Canis lupus familiaris: one gene and its partner. The protein of the gene in region 2 purifies or fractionates together with the protein of the main gene of each other region. This does not show direct contact. Links are inferred from orthologs where the notes say so. Each region holds a gene or a part of one and is shown on either strand. Other genes may lie near its edges.

Region 1 (3,249 bases), on a different chromosome or scaffold from region 2:
GTCGAGGCTGGTGGAGCCCGACGGGCGTAGAGCTGGGACTACCGTACCTGGGGGTGGCCCGCCATACTTCCTCTGCCCGTTCACCTGCACCAGGCGGATGCCCGTCTCCCTGACCCACGCCTCCAACGCCGCCTTGTTCTCAGGATTCACCCTCTCACACCATAGCTGAAGGGGAAACGGCAGGCTGGAATGGCGGATCTCCACGCCCGTCCCCACCGCGACTGGGCAACTGCAGCCCAAGGAGCCACTACCCCCTGCGCAGCTAGCGCTTGTTGAGCCCCCTTGCCAGCCACTTACCTCACACTCCCGCTTGGACTGCATGACTCTCACGGCTGCCCGTCGGCACCCCCTTTATAACCTCCTCCCCAAAGGCCTCTGGAAGCTTCCCTACCCCTCCTCCCCGCAAGCTCTCATTGGCTCTGAGCACGACCCCGCCCTCCAAGGGGGTGGGGGTACCCACTGCACGTGCGCCTCGGGAACCTGACTTTCAGGTGAAAGCTAGAAACCTAAACCGGTGAGTGTGCGACCAGCCCCAACTCCTAGGGCTTGGATGTGCGCTGGAGGCAAGAGCCTCAAGGGCACCCTTCACCCTGGGGAAGAGCCCGTGGGGTCTACTGTAGAGCCTCCCCGCCCCTTCCCCCCGTTTTCGCCGCTCAAGTAGTTGGAATAGGAGGCCCAAGCTCCCACAGAGAAGGCAGGGCTAGGCCATAGTGACACACAAGCTCCAGTGGTTGAGTCATTTTATTGGACCTTTAAGGGTTGGTTGTGGGGAGCATTCCCTCCATTTGGTCAGGGTTCTGCATAGGGGTCCTGCAGGGGAGACCAACTTAGGCTCCATCCCTGGAGCAGAGACTCAGCCCCCAGGATCTCTTATGGAAAAATGGTGTAATACCTGGCCATTTTTGCCCGTGATTACCAATAAAGTATTCATAATAAAAAATCTCTGTTCTGACTACTGTGGAGGTCTTCCTGCTGGAAAAGAAGTGTGCAAAGCTGTTCGTAGTACATATGCAGAGTCTTGTTTTAGCCACAAATAGTGCCAGTCCCACTTTCCCCTGATAGTTTGCTCAACTCAGCAGATGCAAAAGGGCTGGCTTGTTCTCCTTTTGATTTCTTCCACAAGGTCTTCTCTTGGGACGTCCACCTGGCCAGGATGGGTAAAGAAGATGGTATGAGCATCTCTGACTCCACTGCTCCCAAGTGCCCACTCCTTCCTCTAGTCACCAGGCTTGGCTCAGCTGGGAGCAGGAATGCAGGCAAAGGAGCCAGAGACACAAAGTATGGTTGCAGATGGGACTCCTATCCTACTATGACAATAGTAACAGGTTAATAACCCTTTAGTCTTTTCCGAGTGGGTATTAACATGAGTTCCAGACTTTTGCTTGGGTCTTGAATGAGCACAGCCTGCCCAAATGGCATACATTCCCCTTCCCTCAGCCTCTCTAGCCACCTACCTACCTCTTCCCTGCTGGCCACTGATCGGAGCTTGATGACCCCATCCTTGAGCTCCTGCTCACCAATGATGGCCACCAGTGGGATGCCTGCCTCCTCACAGTATTGCAACTGGTTCAGCAACTTAGGGTTCTTCTTATAGAGCAGCTCTGCCTGCAGGGGACCAGGGCAGAAGATGAAGGCTGGCTTCTACTGTTCTCAGGGACAACTTCCTTGGGGCCCACGTGCTCTTAGCTCTCCTCCACGAAGCTGCTATGGATGAGCTTTTATTTAGGCTGTGCCCAGCACTCCCAAGTTCACTGCCACCCTGGAACTGGCCTCCTCTACCTTGATCCCAGCATTCCAGAGCTCTGAGACAAGCTTTAGTCTCTCCTCCAGCAGCTTTTTCTGTGCAGATGCCACAAGCACTTGTGTCTCTGTGGTCCGTACTTTCTCCTCCGTAGCCTGGGGAAGGGTCAAATAAGAGTCCGAGCTGGGCTACCTTCAAGCAGCCAAGCGAGCAGGCTGTTGTCAGGATTCTGACCTATCAACTACGCATAAGGTAGCTCCTAGAAGGTATAAGAAACGAACTGCCTGGCTTGTACGTATAGCTTACCAGAAAAGATAACAAAGGGCAAGAGCCAAGGTAGTTTATGTACATAACTTCAAACTTGTCTCCTTCTAGTACCTTAAGGGGCCATGAGAATATTCACATAGAAATGATACTGTGAACTCACTCGGTCCCCATATACTATCAGCCCAGTCAAGGGACTGTGCCTCTTATACTTCAGTCATAGGGCCCAACCCAGGGTATGGGTGGATAGGGGTAAAGAGAGAATGCTGCTGCTGCTGCCCATTGTCTTTTTCTTGTAAACTATTTTCATAGTTCTTAACAACATACAATGCCTACTGGAACACTGACCTCAATTGGGAAACATGGTTTCCACTCCAGAGAAAAGGATGGGAGCACTGGGAAGATTACTGCCAGAGCATTCCCCAGGGGATGAAATGCATCCAGCCAGTTAAAAGCAGCAGCAAAGGAGTGCTTGAGGTCATGAGGGCCTTCCCTCTAGAGGCTAGAGAGTCAAGATAGCCATCTGAAGAATCCCAAGGCCTAAAACACATGCTTACCACTTAGAGGTGATATCAGAGGAGTTAGGAGCAAGACTTTGGAGTTAGACTGCCTGGATTTGCATTCTGACCCTGGTACTTAAAAGTTTCACAGCTGGGGCACCTAGGTGGCTCAGCCAGGTCATGATCCCAGGGTCCTGGGATCAAGCCCTGCATCGGGCTCCCTACTTGTCAGGGAGCCTGCTTCTCCCTCTTTTTCTGCCTCTCCCCCTACTTGTGCTCTGTCTCTCAAAATAATAAACAAACAAACAAATAAATAAAATATCAAAAAAAGGTTTCACCACCTTGGGCAAATTATGACTTATAGTGCTTCAGTTCCCTTGGCTACAAAATGCAGATAATAAAAGTAGCTACTCTCAGAGGGCTGTGCAAGAATTTTAGTAGATAATGCATGAAAAGCACTAAGCACAGTGCCCAGCACACAGTAATAAAATATTAAGCATTCTGTATTCTGAAGATTGATGTCTTTGGATATACCACCCCATGACTTCCGACAGTGCTGAGGGAAGTAGGGACCCAGAGGAAAGGATTCTGGGGAGAATGAAGGATCCAAGATCCATCAAGTTGGCCTACAATGGAGTAGAAGTCCATTAAACACAGCAACCATCTTTTCTCCATTTCTTTCCAAAGATGCTCCTTGCCCAAAACAGTACCATTCGCCCCCTTGAAGAACAAAGAAAACAGCTC
Region 2 (3,810 bases):
CTAACTCTGGGAAACGAACAAGGGATAGTGGTAGGGGAGGTGGGCGGGGGGTTGGGGTGACGGGCACTGAGGGGGCACTTGGTGGGATGAGCACTGGGTGTTATGCTATAGGTTGGCAAATTGAACTCCAATAAAAAAAACAAAAAGAAAAAAAAAGAAAAAATAATGAAAAAAAGAAAGAAAAAAGAAAAAAGAAAAGAAAGAAAAAAGAAAAAAAGAAAAAAGAGAAAAGAAAAAAAAGAAAGAAAAAAAGAGAAACAAAAAGAAAAAGAGGAAAATAAAAAAAAAGCAGCAGCAGGGCCAGCACGGCCAGGGCTGGAGGTGGCGGAATCCCGCGAGCGCCGCCGCCACCTCGCGGCCGCCAGGGCACCCAGCGCCCCCGAAGGACCGAGAGCGCCGGCAGCAGGTTCCAGGTTCGTGGAGCAACAGCGCCCCCCCGTGGTCGTCGCGGGAGCAGCTGGGGGAAGGGGCATTCCTGGCTCAGGGGCCGCAGGATCGCCAGGAGGGAGCCGGGGAGGGGGGGCGCGTCCCCCCACGGGGACCCCATCAGCGCCTCGGAGGGCTAACGCAGGTAGAGAGCAGACGGGTCGCCACCTGCTGCGGACTCCGCAGACGCTCGCCCCGGGGGCCCGACAGGCGGGGCCAGGGCCGCCTAGGAGGCAGGAGGGCAGAGGACAAGCCTTACGTGTGGCTCATGCAGGTCTCGCGGATGTTCTTGGTGACCGCCTCGTAGACCGTGGGGGGCAGCGCCAGGTAAAACAGGCGGTTGGTGTGCGGCCCCTGGTGGAGCGCGTTCACGTGGCTGTGCAGGCGCTCGTAGGAGGCCACGTCGTCATACTGGCCGGCCACGTAGGAGTTGCGGGCAAAGAACTCCTCCAGCTTGGGCTTCTCGTCTGCTGTGGCCTGAGACAGTGAGAAAGGTGGACACAGGGACGCGGCCCGGCCCTCCCTCCCGCCCCACAGCCCAGCCCCCTCCCATCAGCTGTGCGGGCCCACGGGGTTGGCGGCGGCAGCACCACGCGGGACACGGGCTCCAGCACTCCCAGGCTGGGCCCTCGGCCTGCAGTCACCCCCCGGGGGGCCTGGGGCCCTGACACAGGGGTGGCACTTCAGGAGGTGTGACCCGGCGGGACTCTCTGAAGTCACACCACCAGCCTCTGGTGTGTGGGCAAGAGGCAGCTCTGTGATTTTTGTGGGATGATGCTGTTTCAGCTCCTGGCCCTGGCAGGGGTGACGGTGTGGGGGGCACGGCAGGGAGGACCCTGGGAGCGCTGGGGAACGGGGCCTCAAGCTGGCAGGGTCCCTGCGCCGGGCTCCATGACACTTGGGTCATCAAAGTGGCAGGGGCGGGCGGCGCACGGCTGTGTGGGTTGTGGGCAGCGTGCGTGCTCCGGGTGCGTGGGGGGGGCGGGGGTGAGAAGCGCCAGGGCGGGAGCACCTCCACCAAGGCAGGGGAGGGGCGCCCCTCACGGACACCCCCGGAAGCCGCTCACTTTGAAGAAGGGCTCGCTCTGCTTCCGGATGTCGGCCACGGTGAGGCGGGAGCGCGCGAAGCCCACGACGTAGGTGTCCTCAGGCAGGAGGCCGTCCCGGAAGAGCCACCTGAGGGCAGAGCATGACTCGGGCCGGCCGGATGGGGAGGGCTGGGGACACGGGGACACGGGGACTCGGGGCGGGCGCTGCTTACCAGATGGTGGGGTAGATCTTCTTCTTGGCCAGGTCGCCCTGCAGCAGAGGGAACGGGGTGCTTAGGAGAAGCGTGGGCACGACCTCGACGGTCTGCTCCCTTTCAACCTGGGCACTCGCCCAGGGTCCCTACTGGGCCGCAAGCGTGCCTGTCGTGCCCGTGCAAGCAGCAGGAGGAGCTCGAATGGGAGCCTGCGCTGGCACTTCACCCTGACTCAGGTGACAGCGCCCGCGTCCCGCGGTAGCCACCTCGAGGTGAACGGACCTCATGCCAGGAGGCCTGTTGCCCGACCTGCAGGCCCTGGGATCACACGGACCACGGTCTCTGGTCACAGTGTAAGCAAGGAAAGCACAGCCAGGCCCCAAAGCCCACCTCCGAAGGCCCACGGGCTGAAGAGAATCTGAAGGAAGACTCTAGAACTGAACGGCAACAGAAATAGCAAAGAGCAAAACCTATGCGGTGTGCCCTGGGCTGCTGCCTCTAGATCGGGGCCAATGAGCTTATTAGTGTCCGATTTAAGAAGTCACAGAGGGACGCCTGGGTGGCTCAGTAGTTGACCATCTGCCTTCGGCCCAGGGCATGATCCTGGGGACCGAGTCCCACGTCCGGCTCCCTGCGTGGAGCCTGCTTCTCCCTCTGCCTGTGTCTCTGCCTCCCTCTCTGTGTCTCTCGTGAATAAATAAATAAAATTCTTAAAAAAATTTCAGACAAAAGAGTAGGATTAGAAAGCCAAAGCCAAGCAAGTTACAAGGCAGGAAATGATGAAAAAATATAAATTAATAAAATAGAAAATAAGCCAAAAGAAAATATCAAGAAATCCAAAAGCTGGTGTTTGAAAGAGCTGAAGAAAAACCGACAACCCTCTGGCGAGACTACTTTTTTAAAAGGTGCCAGGAATTAGGGGTGCAACAGAACACAAGTACAAGCAGGAAAACACAACTTCAATGAAATGGGCAAAATTCTAAAAAAATGCCACCTACCCAAACAGAGACAGGGACCCGAGTGGGCAATGGTCATGAAGGAAATTGGATTGTGACCACAAACCTTTCCACCAAGGCAAGGGCAACACTGACCCTGGCACTAGATCGCTTTCCCAGGGTGGGGGTGGGGGGGCTACCACAAAGCCAGAAAGATGGAACTCCGTTCTGAGGCCGAGTCCGTCTGCAACCTGGAAACATAACCTACTCCTGCAGCAAAATTTAAAAACCCACTTAAAAACTGATCAAATAAAAAAAAAAAAAGAAAAAAACCTGATCAAATACTTTGCGGGGAAGAGAAACGAATGGCTAACAAACACACGACAAAGTTTTCAAGATCTTCAGTTGTCAGGAAAATGCAAACGAAAGCAGCACACCTAGTGTTGGAGGGGATGCGGAGCACACGTCTACACATGCACGTGCACAGCAGCCTCAACTCAGTGTCCCCGCGGGGTAGACAAGCCAAAGGCTCCAGGTAGGTGGACAAGCTGTAAGTGAAGCTCTAGGATACGCAAGACGAATCTATTCTGGTAAAGATGACATCGCTGGTTGTCTGGGGTGGACTGACTGGGGTGGCCGTCTAAGAACTTTCTGCAGAGATGAAAAGTCCTATGTTGATTTTTTTTTAATTTAAAAGAATACATTTATTTGAGAGAGAGAGGAGAGACACGGAGAGACCGCGCACGTGGAAGGGGCAAAGGGAGAGGGAGAAAGGGAATCTCAAGCAGACTCGTCACTGAACGTGGAGCCCGACGCGGGGCTGGATCCCAGGACCCTGAGATCGTGACCTGAACTGAAACCAAGAATCGGATGTTTAATCAACTATGCCACCCGGGTGCCCCAAAAGGTCCTATGTTGTGATAAAGGTGTTTAACCTGCACCATTAGGATTCGTGCATTTCAACACATTTCAGTTTTGTCCAAGAAAAAAAACCCTGAAAAACAAAAACAACAGTTGAGCGGAGAGTGGGGAGTGGGCGAAACAAGAGGCGGAATGTCGTGGGAACTGGGTAATGGACAGCGGCCATTCATTGTACTTTCTTTTTCTTTTTTTTTTTTTTTAAGAGTGAGCAAGTGAGCGAGCAGGGGGTAGAGGGAGAGGGAGCGAGAGAATCCCAAGAGGCTCCACAACCAGCACGGAGCCGAT

The links.
Region 1: the proteins of G6PD (region 2) and HARS1 fractionate together in Homo sapiens (co-fractionation; 3 studies listed by BioGRID). This does not show direct contact. The link is inferred for Canis lupus familiaris from reciprocal best matches to the Homo sapiens genes G6PD and HARS1.

The regions. Positions count from the first base shown.
Region 1 is NC_049223.1:34,955,959-34,959,207, forward strand, and holds the end of HARS1 (histidine--tRNA ligase, cytoplasmic), read right to left. Parts: intron 1,897-3,249; coding exon 1,780-1,896; intron 1,606-1,779; coding exon 1,455-1,605; intron 1,145-1,454; coding exon 1,068-1,144; 3' UTR 724-1,067; downstream 1-723. Other genes in the region: DND1 (dead end protein homolog 1), read right to left, coding at 48-321. UniProt on the Homo sapiens protein: Catalyzes the ATP-dependent ligation of histidine to the 3'-end of its cognate tRNA, via the formation of an aminoacyl-adenylate intermediate (His-AMP). Plays a role in axon guidance.
Region 2 is NC_049260.1:123,409,226-123,413,035, forward strand, and holds part of G6PD (glucose-6-phosphate 1-dehydrogenase), read right to left. Parts: intron 1,726-3,810; coding exon 1,688-1,725; intron 1,603-1,687; coding exon 1,494-1,602; intron 904-1,493; coding exon 686-903; intron 1-685. UniProt on the Homo sapiens protein: Catalyzes the rate-limiting step of the oxidative pentose-phosphate pathway, which represents a route for the dissimilation of carbohydrates besides glycolysis.